Linked DNA regions of Arabidopsis thaliana. The main gene of each other region encodes a partner of the protein of the gene in region 2 in a complex. Each region holds a gene or a part of one and is shown on either strand. Other genes may lie near its edges.

Region 1 (8,239 bases), on a different chromosome or scaffold from region 2:
GAAAGTTTTACATTAACAATGGAGGTTGTGGTGATGATGGTAGTGATGAGATTGAGATTAGTATAATGGAGACTCAGAATGGAAATTGGAAGAGTGGTTTGATTATTCAGGGAATTGAGATCAGGCCTGAAAGAAGCAACTGATTTTGATCAAATTGTGTATTTTGAAGTATGAAACACAGTTTTAAAAACATGTCTTCTAATGTCTCGAGTTTACTTACAGTTTGGAGTTCTTGATATGAAATAGCAGAGAAGTTGATAATTCTCTATCTTGTGTACTAATGTCTGAATAGCAAGAAGAAAGATGGTTCATGATTCTTATGTTTCCCATTCATTTCACCATTGTGACTATCTTTCTTCTGTTTCCTGTTTCCACATCCATACATGTCATCTTGAGTCTTGGTTCAACACTCTTTTGCTTAGTCATGCCCTGTAGCTGAAACCATTTGTCCATGATTCACACATTCGCTCAGTTAAATGTCTAAAACGTTTATATTCCTACCTAGTAACTACCATCTTCTAGATCACGCCTGGAAAAAGAAGACATCGTGTAGCTGAATGATCTCTTGTGATTTGTGAACAAAGTGTATATGGTTATTTTGATTTGTTGAGAAAACAGAAAAGATCAAGGCTTTTTGTGATGTGAATACAACAAACCCAAGCAAGTAAAACTGGGTCAGTTCTAATCTAACTTCGAAGGCTTTTAAGAAAAACTATACTATGGGCTTTGTTGCACACATTACGAAAACAACAACCTTGGGTTTTTAGTGAATAGAAATAGTTGAGCTTTTAAACTCTGAAAGATTGTGAATTGTGTTGTGTAACAAAGCAAGAGCATTTTTTTATTTCATTTTCAAATATTATCTTTCACATTTGTTTCGTTTTTCTATTTAAACTGCAATGTTTTTTTGGGTCAAACTACAAAGTTTTTTTCTATTTTGGGTATTTTTCCTATAAATTTAGTAGTTAGGATCGTAGTATATTTTAGGAGTTTTAGAGACATACGGGAAAGGTAGGAAAATATTAGAAAGGGTAAATATCAGTCATCTTTATTTACATTCTAATTTATACTTTTTTACCAAAAAAAATCGTTGTATGTTAGCAACAACCAGCAAGAGTATTATTAGTTTATTACCAATCAAAGTCACACTATTTGTAATATCATATATATCAAAATTAGCTATAATAAACTATAAAACTTAGTAAGTCAATTTTCAGAAGAAAAAAAGAACCTATAAAAGACTAACGAAAGCCGATTATATCGAAGCCATTACGAGCCACATGGTATTGAAGATTAATTATAGAGTTGAATAGTCGATGTCACATGCTTTGACTGTCTCCTTCATTATAGATATCGACATTAATATTTTATTATTAACATGGAATCGTATCTTAACTTTTCCACGTAAAACAATATTTAATCTCTTTATGAAAGATCATGCACACACTAGGAAAACTATATAAGTGATTTCTTATATGGTAAACCAACTTTGAATGTAGGCTAATTAGTTTATTAAGCAATATAGTCTTTTATGTCTATGTTCAATTCACCATTCACCCATATTGTCCTCATTTACTTATAAATCAAGTAAACCATCAAAGAAAGTTGTGTAAACAGCCTATTTTTCTTTAAGAAATAAATCATGGCAAGAAAATGTGAGACTTTTTGGTTTTATTTTGTTAAAATGACAATCTATTATCCTTTTCTTTTTTTCGAACAATCTATAACGTGTATATTACTACAAAGGTATAAGAGAATCCATTTTTTAACTGCCAAGATTAATTTTTTTTTTTCGATTCTTTCCAATTAATTAATAACGGATTCTATCGACAAAATTTAGGATAGCGTTACATATAAAAGTAATATTAACGCATCCTAAATTTGTCGTTTTTAAAAGAAAAAAGTATTAACGACAAAAAATAATCCTTTAGCAATGAAAATTGGTGATAAAAAAACTGAAGAAAAAAGCAATGAAATTTATGTTCCTATACCGACTATTTTTTAGTTTCTTTTATATAAAATATAAAATAGTTTATATATAACCGTTCTTTTATTTTTTTATCGTCTACAACTCACATACGTTACACTTTTATAGTTATACTTCTAAATTAGAAGTCAAGTTATTGTATAGTGATATTATAAACTTCAAGTTATACAAGTCCGGTCATATGAAATTAATATTAGTAATTTGATTGGAATTATAACGTATTGATTTGGACATGTAAATAGCTAAAAAAAAATAGCTCCTATATTAGATTCTTTTAACCAACAAATACAACAATTAAGTTGATAACCTTCCTCTTTGAAGTATTTCAAGATTTTATGGAAAAAACTCAAGATTTTTTTCCGAAGCTTTTATCGGAAACTAAAGAATATCTAGTAGGTCTATTTTCATTCATTATCAACTTGCGAAAAAAGAGAAACAATGTCAATAATTAATGTAAATAGAAAAAAAAAAAAATTGTAGTTGAGAAGAGAGAGAGATGCAAAGGTGTCAACGTCCGTGCTTTGACTTCTATCTTTTCTCTTGTCCTCATCTTAAATCCTCAAAGCTGACCTAACCGGTCACTCCCTTCTTCTCCGGTCATCTTTAATTATTATTCAATTAACCCATAATCAAATTTTAATATAAAAATTAACCATTTGCAAAATAAAATCAATATAATTAATAAAAGCTACTCCTTTACCTTTTTATTGCATAGAAACTACTAAAATATAAATCTACCATTTGCAGAATAATCGGCAAAAAACCATAAAGAAACATTTATAGTCACATAATTTTGCATATATTTTTCTAAATTCGATCACTTTCATCATTCATTATTCATTAATCGTTCCAAATTTTCTTCTGCCTATCCGTTGAACGACAAACTATTCAAAGTAAAAGATTTAGACAAAAAAATAAAAAAAATATTTAGAGAAAGACTTTCCTAAGTCAATGTTATTGATTAAGACTTCATATATGACTAAACACACTCAATTATAATTGACAAAACACGGAAAAGATTTGTCTATAACAAATTTTCCAAAAACACAAATTAATTCACAAAATATTTGGAAAAATAATATTTATTCAAAGCTTCTTATTTCTTCTTCTTCTTTATTTAAAGATTTTTACTGTTTGCTCTGTATCAGAAAAAAGACCAAACACAACTCTTCCACTTTCTATCTCTCTCTAGAATTTTGCTTGCATTAAAACAACACCCACTACTTGCTGTTGCGTGTTGAAGTCAAAAGTCGCCATTTTTCTCTCTCTTGCTTCTTCATCTTCATTGATCATCATCTAAAATGGCAATAATCAGAAAACCCGTTTCGTATACTCTCAGATTTCTCAAGGGTTTTTGTTGAATCTTAATTCTTCTCTCAAAGTTTCTTCCTTTATATTCTTCTTCTTCTTCCTCTGTTCTTGAAATGCGTGTTCATCGTTTTTGTGTGATCGTCATCTTCCTCACAGAGTTACTATGTTTCTTCTATTCCTCGGAATCTCAGACCACCTCCAGGTGCCATCCACATGACCTCGAAGCCTTACGTGACTTCATAGCACATCTCGAACCAAAACCAGATGGTTGGATCAATTCTTCTTCTTCTACAGACTGCTGCAACTGGACCGGAATCACCTGCAATTCAAACAACACCGGAAGAGTTATTAGATTGGAGCTTGGGAACAAAAAGCTGTCGGGGAAGTTGTCTGAATCTCTCGGGAAGCTAGATGAGATTAGGGTTCTTAATCTCTCTCGAAACTTCATCAAAGATTCGATCCCTCTTTCGATTTTCAACTTGAAGAATCTACAAACTCTTGATTTGAGCTCTAATGATCTCTCCGGCGGAATCCCAACAAGTATAAATCTCCCAGCTCTGCAAAGTTTTGATCTTTCTTCAAATAAATTCAATGGGTCGCTTCCGTCTCATATCTGCCATAACTCTACTCAAATTAGGGTTGTGAAACTTGCGGTGAACTACTTCGCCGGAAACTTCACTTCCGGGTTTGGGAAATGTGTCTTGCTTGAGCATCTCTGTCTTGGTATGAACGATCTTACTGGTAACATCCCTGAGGATTTGTTTCATCTCAAAAGATTGAATCTTTTAGGGATTCAAGAGAATCGTCTCTCTGGTTCGTTGAGTCGTGAGATTAGGAATCTCTCAAGTCTTGTTCGTCTTGATGTTTCTTGGAATTTGTTTTCCGGTGAAATCCCTGATGTGTTCGACGAATTGCCTCAGTTAAAGTTTTTCTTAGGTCAGACCAATGGATTCATTGGAGGAATACCTAAATCGTTGGCGAATTCACCGAGTTTGAATCTGCTTAACTTGAGGAACAATTCTTTATCGGGTCGTTTGATGTTGAATTGTACGGCGATGATTGCTTTGAACTCTCTTGATTTAGGTACCAATAGATTCAATGGGAGGTTACCTGAGAATCTACCGGATTGCAAGCGGTTAAAGAACGTTAACCTCGCGAGGAACACCTTCCATGGACAAGTACCAGAGAGTTTCAAGAACTTCGAGAGCTTATCTTACTTCTCGTTATCGAATTCGAGTTTGGCTAATATCTCTTCAGCGCTTGGGATACTTCAGCATTGCAAGAACTTGACGACTTTGGTTCTTACATTGAATTTCCATGGAGAGGCTTTACCCGATGATTCAAGTCTTCATTTCGAGAAGCTTAAGGTGCTTGTAGTGGCGAATTGTAGGCTTACTGGTTCGATGCCGAGGTGGTTAAGCTCGAGTAATGAACTTCAGTTGTTGGATCTTTCTTGGAACCGTTTAACCGGCGCTATCCCGAGCTGGATTGGTGACTTCAAGGCTCTGTTCTACTTGGATTTATCTAACAACTCGTTTACAGGAGAGATCCCTAAGAGCTTAACTAAGTTAGAGAGTCTCACTAGCCGTAATATCTCAGTCAATGAGCCATCTCCTGATTTCCCGTTCTTTATGAAAAGAAACGAGAGCGCGAGAGCGTTGCAATACAATCAGATTTTCGGGTTCCCGCCAACGATTGAGCTTGGTCATAACAATCTCTCTGGACCTATTTGGGAGGAGTTTGGTAATCTGAAGAAGCTTCATGTGTTTGATTTGAAATGGAATGCATTATCTGGATCAATACCTAGCTCGCTTTCTGGTATGACGAGCTTGGAAGCTCTTGATCTCTCTAATAACCGTCTTTCGGGTTCGATCCCGGTTTCTCTGCAACAGCTCTCGTTTCTGTCGAAGTTCAGTGTTGCTTATAACAATCTCTCGGGAGTAATACCTTCCGGTGGTCAGTTTCAGACGTTTCCAAACTCGAGCTTTGAGAGTAACCATCTCTGCGGGGAACACAGATTCCCCTGTTCTGAAGGTACTGAGAGTGCATTGATCAAACGGTCAAGAAGAAGCAGAGGAGGTGACATTGGAATGGCGATTGGGATAGCGTTTGGTTCGGTTTTTCTTTTGACTCTTCTCTCGTTGATTGTGTTGCGTGCTCGTAGACGGTCAGGAGAAGTTGATCCGGAGATAGAAGAATCCGAGAGCATGAATCGTAAAGAACTCGGAGAGATTGGATCTAAGCTTGTGGTTTTGTTTCAGAGCAATGATAAAGAGCTCTCTTATGATGACCTTTTGGACTCAACAAATAGTTTTGATCAAGCTAACATCATTGGCTGTGGCGGGTTTGGTATGGTTTACAAAGCAACGTTACCAGACGGTAAGAAAGTTGCGATCAAGAAGTTATCCGGTGATTGCGGTCAAATCGAAAGAGAATTCGAAGCAGAAGTTGAAACACTCTCAAGAGCACAGCATCCAAATCTTGTTCTTCTCCGAGGATTCTGTTTCTACAAAAACGACCGGCTTTTAATCTACTCGTATATGGAAAACGGAAGCTTAGACTATTGGCTACACGAGCGTAACGACGGTCCAGCGTTGTTGAAGTGGAAAACACGTCTTAGAATCGCTCAAGGTGCTGCAAAAGGGTTACTTTACTTGCATGAAGGGTGTGATCCTCATATCTTACACCGCGATATTAAATCGAGTAATATTCTTCTCGACGAGAATTTCAACTCTCATTTAGCGGATTTCGGACTCGCAAGGCTGATGAGTCCTTACGAGACGCATGTAAGTACTGATTTGGTTGGAACTTTAGGTTACATTCCTCCGGAATACGGGCAAGCTTCGGTTGCTACTTACAAAGGCGATGTGTATAGTTTCGGAGTTGTGCTTCTCGAGCTTTTAACCGATAAAAGACCGGTGGATATGTGTAAACCGAAAGGGTGTAGGGATCTGATCTCGTGGGTCGTCAAGATGAAGCATGAGAGTCGAGCAAGCGAGGTTTTCGATCCGTTAATATACAGTAAAGAGAATGATAAAGAGATGTTTCGGGTTCTCGAGATTGCTTGTTTATGTTTAAGCGAAAACCCGAAACAGAGGCCAACGACTCAACAGTTAGTCTCTTGGCTTGATGATGTCTAGAAGAAAGAGGAACAATATCAGAGACACTATGATACATTTTGTAGGGAGTGATTTTCATACTTTTGAGATACAATGTAAATAGTTTTCAGATAATAATTTGTTTCTTCGTTTTCTTCTTCCATTTTTTTTATCTCAGTTTATGATTCAGATTCAGACATTAAAGATACTAGACAGAACATATACTGTCTCAGAAAAATGAAAAATCTTTTTGTAGTGTTTCAGAAATAATGAGTTCTTGAAAAAACATGTCTCAAGCAATTTAAATGAGCAACATAGATTAATAATTTGTGTTACATCTTTATTCTGTGATTTGCTTTGTGGATACTCTGTTGATTATGTTATACCTTTTAGAGATTTTTGGTTTAATTAAAAAATATATATATTTGGTAGCTAAATTCCTTTTGGTCTTCAACAAAAGAATTCCTTTTGGCCAACTATAGTCAATTTTTTGTTAAGAATCCATTACATTAACTTATTTTTTATGGGTGTGAAAATATTGTTCAACTCATTTGACCAAAAGAATTCAAAGATTATGACTTTGTAAGGTCAAAATATAATATTTGCTTCATTAGAAAGGTTTTCTATATATCGATTTCTCAGTCCCCAAAGACCACAAATTTATAGATTAGTACGCTTCCTATAATGGTTCCTTAAAAATTTTCAAAGATTGACTACAGATTCGATAGTGAAGATGTTCACTTCTGGCTTTTCTTCCACACTACATGAAAACAGCCAAAAATATAACAAATAAAATACAAGGAAAAAGAAAAAGAGCATTAAAAGTTTAAAACTTATGTATGATGATAAATATAAAAAAAAATATCGAAAAATGCATAAACTTTTAAATTTGAGACAAAAAAGCATGAACTTTTCAAAATGTCATTTAAATCATACGGTTTAGTTTGACTTTTTGCAAAAAAAGTGAAGTTTTATCAACTTTGCCATTTTCGGCAAGTCGTTAAATTTCCGTTAACGGGGATAACTTTCCTTTACAATTCTCCGTTAAATTAAAACGATTTTGTTTTGGAGTTTACCAAACAACGTAGTTTTAATAGAAAATAAATGGAAAATGCTTCCTAGGATAATCGTACTGTTGGCCTTTTGTACTCATAAGAGATACCCCATCGCTGAGATATGTCAACAATTTAATATATTACAAACAATATATATATATATATATATACTAAAAAATAACAATATACAACTAATAAAAAATACAATAAATTAAAAATAATAAAATTACAAATATATACTATTAAATATATTTACCATAATATAGATTTTGAAATTTCAGATATTTAATTTAATAAATAAAGTTTTTTTTTATATTTGGAAATTATTCTTTCCTAAATTATAGAAGAAAAAATGGCCAAGTCAAAGAAACTTAACCATTTTAGCAAAAAATTAAACTAAACTTTGTGATTTAAATAATATTTTACACTTTTTTTTTGTTCTAAATTTGAAAGTTTACACATTTTTTTACGTTTCCCCCTTAGAGTATTGGTACATGAGCATCTTTGTCTTAAGGGAGATTTGCAAAACTGCCATTATTCTAATAACCTTTTGTAAAAGTGCCCTTTCCTGAAGTCCATTTTTAAAACTACCCCTTCTAATATGCCAAATGACTGTCTTACCCTCTGAATGATTAGGTTTCACGTTGGTTTCACAAACTTCTTCGGCACAAACTTCTTCGTTTTCCTCTCCGATTTTCATCTCCGATTTCACTCAATCTCGCCGGCGAATTTCCTCTCCGATTTCACTCAAAATCGCCGACGAATTCCCTCTCCGATTTCACTCAAAA
Region 2 (9,970 bases):
CTTATATTTTAAATAATTTAGTTAAGGTTCATTTGAGCTGCAAAATTAAATACATAGTGAACTTATTTTACTAGATTACCAAAATTATATTGGTAAAGAAATATTGTGGCAAACTGTAAATAAGTGATGTCTTTTTGTATTTTATTCAAATAAATAGTATGATATATATGTAAAGTATGTTACTGTATACAATAATCTAAAACTTGTTACCCCATGATAAAAAAATGTGATAAATAAAATCATTTTGTTTACAATTTTTCTATCCATCATTTGTGAAAAGAAAAGAAAAGACAAGAAATGATTTTCGTATCTTGTACATATTCTCTTTACCTAATTTACGAGACGTTTGTTTAGACTTGAACACTTATTAATTAGGACATGAATCCTAAGAAGTTAAAACGTAGAGGAGTTGGAAATGACGAACTTTGTATTATTGGGGGACCCATCACAATCAAAAGTCAATTTCTCAGTATATCTTCAGAGGGAACAAATTTAATTAACACTATGGTTTTTATTCAATTATTAACATGTGACATCGTTCCCATTGCTGACCTTGCCATGAGGCACACCTTGGAAGGGCCAATATTTTCATTATCAACGTTAGGGCCACAAATAACTATATATATTAAAATTACTATTCTACAAATTACTACTATATAAATTAGTCCGTCGTAACTAATTACGATCCACACCAACTGATATAATGTAAAAATAGTAAGAAAAAGTAGTTTTCTTACCTGCTTAATCAAGGTATGTAGTTTTTGTTATAAGCATCTCTGTCAAAATTTCAGAGATTTAAAGTGTTTTGGCTTGGAGAAGTATTTGTATGGTTGAGAAAGAAAAAATGGAAACAAAACCGAAGTAACCCATTATTGCTTATCGAAAAAACAAATTTAGAAAAAACGAACCTAAACCAGTTGGAAAACGATTTTGTTAAGAAAATATAGTATTAGTTGAAATTTTCAGAAAGAAATATCTTTCTTTAAACAAAACCTAATAGGTGTCCAAAAAAAAAAAAAGAAAAATGAAGAAGAGGACAGGCTAAGCAGCAAGTAGTATGTTGCTTAGTCAAATATAAATTAAAAAATCCAAGCAATGTATACCTCCACCAAATATTTCTTTCTTGATATAATGATTCATGACAAAAGAAAGAAAAAAAACACCAAAGTCTATGATCTAGTAATTAAAAAAAGAGATATTACAAATTAGTTTCTCTTATAAGCTACTTCCTCCTTAGAGTCCCTTTTCAAACTACTATAAAACATCAAAATATCTCAAAATAAAAAGAAAATAAGAATTATTAACGGTAGAAAATTTTGTTGTTTAAAATGAACAATTATTCCATAATTAAAGTGTAATTAGGACCCACAAAATATATACAAATTTGATTCGGGTTCATAAGCCAAAAATATTACATTAATCAACGGTCAAAGGGTGATTAAGAACTTAAAGAGGCAGCAAAATAAATAAAAAGGGTAATAAATATAGAGAGACTACTTGGTAATGGGACCCACATAGCCAAAACGGCGGAGAAAATCGTCGTTTTTAGTGGCTTATAAAAAGAGGACTCGTATCGACTCTGCAACAGAACCACCTAATCTCTCCTCCTCTCCTTCTCTCTATTTTGCCGGAATACATATGATCGAGTGAAACGGCGGACAAAGCTGTCGTGTTGAGTACTAATTCGCCGTCGTTTTTCTCAGTGAAGGAGTGGTGAGAGATGTCGAGTCTCGAAGATATCAAGAACGAGACTGTTGATCTGGTATACCATTTTTTATCCTCTGTTTTTATTTTATGCTCACAAACTGTTCGATGATCTGCCTGAATGAGAGTAGATCTGTATCCACTTGGTGGCTTTAAAGTCTTTCCTTGGTTATTACTTACTCTCATTATGGTTTCGTTTTTTATATATACATTTTCATCGATTTAGTTTTGAATATGTGAAATTTGTTTAGAAAGACTATATTTTTGTTTCTGGGTAGTAATTAAGTCTAAGAAACGTTTGGAGGACATGAAGAGTTTGTTCATGAGAAAAAAGTAGATCTAAGCATGTGATATACTAGTAAACAAACAAGATAAAGAAAACAGAGTCTCTTTTTTCAGTGGTGGAGCTAGCTACGTCTCAATAAAGTCCAAACCTACTTGTACAATGTTTTGTCTTCTCTTTTTTTGGTTACTAGTAAGAATTTATTTGGTGGTATTTAGAAAAAATAAATATGACTTTAATCAAATCTGTTACTTAACACGAAGTTCGGATTTTTTTTTTGGTTGTACCTTTCCGTGGTACGTTTAACTTCTCTGTCTTTAGCAACCAACAAAAAAGAACACATCTTTTGTGCAGACGTAACTTCTTTTCTGTGTTTCTTGGGACAATAATTTGAATCTTTTTTATTAAAATGCTACTTTTACATAACTTTGGACTGTATTTACGCGACCAAGCCTCGATTTTTACGCCGGGAAGTGAGGGGAATCTTTCGGCGCGTGTGTTTCACGTCGCCATCACGTTGGTCGGTGGTGGCGGTCCCCACTTCACCACCGCTATTTCCCCCCCGCCAAAAATATTTCATTGTCACCGAACTAGTCAACGACTTTTTTCCAACTATTGTACTTATGAAACAGAGTAGATTTATCTACGGTTACAAAATCATCAAAGTTTTCTGTTTTACTTAAGAAAAGGTTTCTCCTTTTTAAGGTTTAGAAACTTGTTTTGTGTATGTGAAAGTTTGAGTTGTTTGGATTTGGTCATCTGATCGAATTTGCTTTTGATTTTTTCAGGAAAAAATTCCGATTGAGGAAGTTTTCCAGCAGCTAAAATGTTCAAGGGAAGGATTGACAACGCAGGAAGGGGAGGACAGGATTCAGATCTTTGGCCCCAACAAGCTCGAAGAGAAAAAGGTCTGATTTTGCATTTGTAGCTCTCAGATAAAATACATAGTTGGTCTCCTTTTTTTTTGTTACTGAGTGTTTGGTGATTTGTGCAATGAAAATTGACAGGAAAGCAAACTTCTGAAGTTTTTGGGGTTTATGTGGAATCCACTTTCATGGGTCATGGAAATGGCTGCAATCATGGCCATTGCTTTGGCCAACGGTGATGGTAGGCCTCCGGATTGGCAGGATTTTGTTGGTATTATCTGTCTGTTGGTTATCAACTCTACCATCAGTTTTATCGAAGAAAACAATGCTGGTAATGCTGCTGCTGCTCTTATGGCTGGTCTTGCTCCTAAAACCAAGGTATATATATGATAAGAGAATGAATGGTGTGAATTTGTTATACAGAACTTTCTGAATTTTCCCTAGAGCTAATGTTTTGGTTCTTGTTGTGATGTTTCTCTGTTTCAGGTTCTTAGGGATGGAAAGTGGAGTGAACAAGAAGCTGCTATTCTTGTCCCAGGAGATATTGTTAGCATTAAATTAGGAGACATTATCCCAGCTGATGCCCGTCTACTTGAAGGTGATCCTTTAAAGGTTGACCAATCTGCTCTAACTGGAGAGTCCCTTCCTGTAACCAAGCACCCGGGTCAAGAAGTTTTCTCTGGTTCAACCTGCAAACAAGGAGAAATCGAGGCGGTTGTTATTGCCACTGGGGTTCATACCTTCTTCGGTAAAGCTGCTCACCTTGTGGACAGCACTAACCAAGTTGGACATTTCCAGAAGGTTCTTACAGCCATTGGGAACTTCTGTATCTGTTCCATTGCTATCGGTATGGTGATTGAGATCATCGTCATGTATCCGATCCAACGCCGAAAGTACAGAGATGGAATTGACAACCTTTTGGTCCTCTTGATCGGTGGTATCCCCATTGCTATGCCTACAGTCTTGTCCGTGACCATGGCTATTGGGTCTCACAGGTTGTCTCAGCAAGGTGCCATCACCAAGCGTATGACTGCCATTGAAGAGATGGCAGGAATGGATGTCCTGTGCAGTGACAAAACCGGGACACTAACCCTCAACAAATTGAGTGTGGACAAAAACTTGGTCGAGGTTTTCTGCAAGGGTGTGGAGAAAGATCAAGTCCTATTATTTGCAGCTATGGCTTCCAGGGTTGAGAACCAGGATGCCATTGATGCAGCCATGGTTGGGATGCTTGCTGATCCAAAGGAGGTATAACCCTTTTTGGTTCACATGTTATTTGTAGTTTTACTGAGCGTCCAAGAAACATGTTCTGATGTTTGATTGGGATTTTCACAGGCTAGAGCTGGAATCAGGGAAGTTCACTTCCTTCCATTCAACCCTGTGGATAAGAGAACTGCTTTGACTTACATTGACGGCAGTGGTAACTGGCACAGAGTCAGTAAAGGTGCTCCTGAGCAGGTGATGGATCTTAATTTTACAAGCTAATCCTTTTTTTTTCTTACCTTTCTTTTTTATACTGATTTGATTCTCCCAACAGATCCTCGAACTTGCCAAAGCCAGCAATGATCTTAGCAAGAAGGTGCTCTCCATTATTGACAAGTATGCTGAGCGTGGTCTTAGGTCGTTGGCTGTTGCTCGCCAGGTACTTATTCGCCATTAATACTGATAGTTCCAGTCCCTTTTTGCTTTTCTTTTCTCAGTGGTAACAAATGTTCAACTGTTTGTCTTCTTATTCCCTTTTGTAGGTGGTGCCAGAGAAAACAAAGGAAAGCCCAGGTGCGCCATGGGAATTTGTTGGCTTGTTGCCACTTTTTGATCCCCCAAGACATGACAGTGCTGAAACAATTCGACGGGCTTTGAATCTTGGTGTTAACGTCAAGATGATCACTGGTAAATTTGTCTACCCATCTATCTTGTTGTGCTAGCTATACACCTTCACAAGTTCCCCCTAACATTCTCTTGAACACATATGTGGCCAGGTGACCAACTTGCTATTGGTAAGGAAACTGGTCGCAGACTTGGAATGGGAACAAACATGTATCCATCTTCGGCTCTTCTTGGTACACACAAAGACGCAAACCTCGCATCCATTCCTGTTGAGGAGTTGATTGAAAAGGCTGATGGATTTGCCGGAGTCTTCCCAGGTTATAATCTGCTTATTTATTGTTTGGATTATAAACCTCACTATATGTTCATTGCAAAGGTGGTGATGTTAGTTCTAAGCTTTGTTTTTTTTATTGCAGAGCACAAATACGAAATTGTGAAAAAGTTGCAGGAGAGGAAGCATATTGTTGGAATGACTGGTGATGGTGTCAATGATGCCCCTGCTCTAAAGAAAGCTGATATCGGTATTGCTGTTGCTGATGCTACAGATGCTGCTCGTGGTGCTTCAGATATCGTGCTCACTGAGCCTGGACTCAGCGTTATTATCAGTGCTGTTCTCACCAGCAGAGCTATTTTCCAGAGAATGAAGAACTATACTGTGCGTCTTCTCCTATTTTTCATCCTTAATTTATTCCAACCACTTGCTTGCTTGCAATTGAAACTAATTACTCTGTTCTATTTTTCTCTCTTGTTACAGATCTATGCAGTCTCAATCACCATCCGTATTGTGGTATGCAAATAAATCCGTTTGAGTTCTGGCCCTTGTTGGTTTTATCTTGGATTAATAGTATGCTGATCATATTGCGTTGAAACTTTTTGCAGTTTGGTTTCATGCTTATTGCTTTGATATGGGAATTTGACTTCTCAGCCTTCATGGTTCTGATCATTGCCATTCTTAACGACGGTGAGCAATGGCTGTCCTTTTGTATAAACCTCAAAATTTGTTTACTTTTTCTACAATGTTTACTTATATCTTTTGGTATTGTGTTGCTATCTTGATCTTATAGGTACCATCATGACAATCTCAAAGGACAGAGTTAAGCCATCTCCCACACCTGATAGCTGGAAACTTAAAGAAATTTTTGCTACTGGAGTCGTTCTAGGAGGCTACCAGGCCATCATGACTGTTATTTTCTTCTGGGCGGCGCACAAGACTGACTTTTTCTCGGTACATACAATTGAGCTAATTAATTTCTCTTTTACAGAAGTTTTTTCTTAGGTTCTTGTTCAGAGTTGTAAAGTAAATTTCACATTGGATTCACAGGACACATTCGGTGTGAGGTCCATTAGGGACAATAACCACGAGCTAATGGGTGCGGTGTACTTACAAGTTAGTATCATTAGTCAAGCTCTGATCTTCGTCACAAGATCAAGGAGTTGGTCTTTTGTTGAACGTCCTGGAGCATTGCTGATGATTGCTTTCCTCATTGCACAACTGGTAAGTTCATCAAATCAACATTTTAAGGGAATTCTTGTTTGGTAAAAAGGTTCTCAAAGAAGCACCCGTTAAATCCATTCATTCTTCCAAATGCAGATTGCTACTTTGATTGCGGTTTACGCCAACTGGGAATTTGCAAAGATTAGGGGTATTGGATGGGGATGGGCTGGTGTGATCTGGCTATACAGTATTGTCACATACTTCCCATTGGACGTTTTCAAGTTTGCCATTCGATACATCTTGAGCGGAAAGGCGTGGCTCAACTTGTTTGAGAACAAGACGGCTTTCACGATGAAGAAAGATTACGGAAAAGAAGAGAGAGAGGCTCAATGGGCACTTGCTCAAAGGACACTTCACGGTTTACAGCCAAAAGAAGCTGTTAACATCTTCCCTGAGAAAGGAAGTTACAGAGAATTGTCTGAGATCGCTGAGCAAGCTAAGAGAAGAGCTGAGATCGCTAGGTAATAAATCCGATCACACACGATTCTTTTTAATCTAAGTGTATTTTTTTGTTGGAATTAAACACTAATTGAATTGTTATATGTTAAACAGGCTTAGGGAGCTGCACACACTCAAGGGACATGTGGAATCAGTCGTGAAGCTAAAGGGCTTGGACATTGAAACTCCCAGTCACTACACTGTGTAGTAAAACCAAACATATGACTGATCTTCGATCCTCTCATGTTTTGTCTTCTTCTTCTTCTTTTTTTCTTCACCACCTCTTATGATTATTATTCACATAGGGAGAGATCTTTGTTTATTGCCATAACTCTTCCCAAACCTTATTGTTAGTGTTCTTGTTTCTCAAATATGTACTTTTGCATAATTTGCTCTTTTGAAGAAACAAGGCATGCCTTTGTGTTTGGCATTTGGCACATGCACATTCTCTTCTTTGCTCTTATTCCATGAGCCTATGTAATCTTAATCTTCTTCTTTTTCGTAATCCAACTTTTCTTCCGGCTTCTTTACTTTTATATATAGTACCTAAATGTTATTTATACCTAGGGACAACAAACAATTTGCTTATTTAAATCAAATTTTGTTTGTTGTAAAGAAGGGAAATAACCATAATTTTTTCTTTTTTTTTTTCACTGAAACCAAATCAATTAAATAACACTATCCTTTAAAAATGCCATTAAAAACATGACATGAGACAAGTTGTGTGGAAGTAGTACGGCTAGAATCTTAAGAGAAATAGAGAGATTTGGATGCGTGCGAGTGACTGTGAGACACGTGCAAAGATATGGATGATGACTTCAAATCAATGTTATGACTTTCATAGTTTACACATATGTCATCCAACTTTCCTCCTTTTTAGATATTTACAATTTCGGCGTTTTGTTTTTCATATTCATCGAATTTTTTGGAAAGTAATTCTAGTCCAGTAGTCCTAATTTTTGTTTACATTTTAATGGTGCACCTGTAGTTACTGCAGCTGGAACATATTGGTGATCTCTACTAATGTGTAGCTTTTATTTAATTGAAGATTTGTTACATCTGATTTTTTGTAGTCGAAAGTTCATATGTTTTCGCTAAAGGAGAAAAAAAACTTGCAGGAATATAAATATATACACAAACACAAAGTTTGTCAGGTTAAAATGATTAGAATATTAAAGTTTGGAGATTTGCTCATAACATTAAAATAATAAATTCAGGAAAAAAAGACAACATAAGAGTTTTATTTTAGGCAGCACATCGTCTATTTGGCATTACAACCAATAATTTAAATTTCAATCAGATTTTGATCGAATTTTATAAGATGTACGTATAAACGGCCATGTGTGGTACTTTAGGTATTTCGGTAACCATGATTAATTAAGAAAAGGAAAAAAGAAAAACACTATAATACATGCTCTTGTTCTTAAAGAAATCAAGAGAAAAAAAAAAACACAGATGATTTTCGTTTAAAGACAACAAAAAAAACATGAAACAAACTATAAATTATACACTTAAACTAAAAGTCAAGTACTATCTTGAACAATGGACTTGAGAGCAATCGTCTGCAACTCAAGACATTTAATGTAGTTACCAATCTCACTCAACATTTCTTCCACATTCATCTCTTCCCCACCTGGCAAAAGCTTCTTCAATTCCCTCAGTCTCTCCTCTATCCCTCCTTCTTCGTTTCCGCCTTCTTTATCGGGTCTTTCAAGAATCCGAATTCCATCGGAAGAAGAACTAGTGGTAGTGGTTGGATTCGATGAGGACGATAGCTTCTGCAGCAAGAAACGGCTCCATGCAAATTCTTGAGCAGACAAAGCCAAAGCCATATCTACTTCATGCTTCACGGTTTGTTTTGAAGAGTTCTTGTTCATGTTGAGCTTCTTGAGTGCAGGAACCAAGTGGCTTGTGTATTTTCTCGTGAAAACTGCACTAGGGTTCTTGTTTGGTTCAAGAGAAAACACTCGTTTCTTCCTGTTTATGATTTGCCTCTCCATATGAGAAACTATTTTTGCTGCAAATGAAAGTCTACAAGGGAGAAAGTTACATATATAGCAAACTTAGAATATGAGAGAGACAAAGAAAGAGAAGAGCGGTGTCCTACGTTTGTTTGTATATAACAAGCGTTGATGATGTATAAAGTAAAGTTGTAGAACTTAATTTTCTTTGTATACATATATGAGGTAATATGTTTGGGAGTGTTATTATTTTTCGTTCACGTACAAAACACAAGACTATTTGAAAGTCGTAGTTAGTAGTTTTCTTTTTTAGACAAATATTTTAAAAACAACGGAATTTGAATATCATCAACTAATATATGTTTTTTTGTATAATACATTTATTTTTAGAAAATACACGAAAACAAAAAGAGAGTGTGTATATATATATATATATATATATATATACATAAATAAAGAGAGAAAAATAAGAAAAGAAGAATTTGGGAATAATAATGGGTGAGGGAAGAAAAAACACATGGAGTCACATGCAAGAGCTCTAATTTGGCTGCATCACAACTACCCCTAAAGAGGTGCTTTGAGAGACCCTTTTACCATGTGGCTCCATTCCAAGAACAAGACATCAATACAAAACCCCACCTTCTCTTAATGCTTTCACATGTTCCTTCCTCTTAACCTCTCTCTCTCTCACTCACTCACTCACACACTTTGTATATACATAATACATGTATGCATGTGTATGTGTCCTTGGACCAATCTCCTAATTAGTTTGATCAATCTATGTCATTTCTACCCATATTATCTTAATATAGATCTCCCTCATATTATATATACCATTTGACCTTCTTTTTTTTTATGCTGCATGTGTGATGAATTTGGGTTTCACTACCCACTACTTTTGCGATATTTGGATACAGATGGTAACTTGCTAAACAGAAATTTAGTTATTATTAGTGGTAGTTCAATTGGTGATCTGTACAACATATCAAGACAAACATCTTTGAAACTGAATTTTACTGCCACTGTAACTAATATGACGTAGATACAAGTTTCTTTACTACGCATATTAACATAAAGTTAAGATGCATGTGGTCAGTAATTGGGTTATTAATACGTTTTATTTGTCAAGGACTTTTAGTCGTGATTTTTTGATTCTAAGCATCATTGCATTCCAGGTTTAAAGATGACTTTAATTTTTCCTATAGGATTTGTAAATAGATAAATATAGTTTATGTTGACACAAAAGGTCACCTTTGATATGATATGAAAGTCTGGGTGTTACTCATTTGTTATTTTATTTTTATTTTTTAAAATATATACCGAATCATTTAGATATATATATATATATATATATATAATAATAATAATAATAATAATAACAATAAAATGTCCAAAC

The links. Proteins that work in one complex are often made in the same cells at the same time.
Region 1: HA2 (region 2) and PSKR1 share a complex: the UniProt entries of both Arabidopsis thaliana proteins name them as parts of the functional complex.

The regions. Positions count from the first base shown.
Region 1 is NC_003071.7:582,297-590,535, reverse strand, and holds PSKR1 (phytosulfokin receptor 1), read left to right. Parts: upstream 1-3,134; 5' UTR 3,135-3,411; coding exon 3,412-6,438; 3' UTR 6,439-6,739; downstream 6,740-8,239. Other genes in the region: PP2-B1 (phloem protein 2-B1), read left to right, coding at 1-143. UniProt on the Arabidopsis thaliana protein: Phytosulfokine receptor with both a serine/threonine-protein kinase activity and a guanylate cyclase activity.
Region 2 is NC_003075.7:14,767,671-14,777,640, reverse strand, and holds HA2 (H[+]-ATPase 2), read left to right. Parts: upstream 1-1,582; 5' UTR 1,583-1,720; coding exon 1,721-1,762; intron 1,763-2,775; coding exon 2,776-2,895; intron 2,896-2,994; coding exon 2,995-3,231; intron 3,232-3,339; coding exon 3,340-4,101; intron 4,102-4,188; coding exon 4,189-4,311; intron 4,312-4,390; coding exon 4,391-4,495; intron 4,496-4,598; coding exon 4,599-4,743; intron 4,744-4,832; coding exon 4,833-5,335; intron 5,336-5,434; coding exon 5,435-5,467; intron 5,468-5,559; coding exon 5,560-5,641; intron 5,642-5,744; coding exon 5,745-5,905; intron 5,906-6,001; coding exon 6,002-6,175; intron 6,176-6,271; coding exon 6,272-6,636; intron 6,637-6,727; coding exon 6,728-6,821; 3' UTR 6,822-7,076; downstream 7,077-9,970. Other genes in the region: AT4G30180 (uncharacterized protein), read right to left, coding at 8,137-8,613. UniProt on the Arabidopsis thaliana protein: The plasma membrane H(+) ATPase of plants and fungi generates a proton gradient that drives the active transport of nutrients by H(+)-symport. The resulting external acidification and/or internal alkinization may mediate growth responses.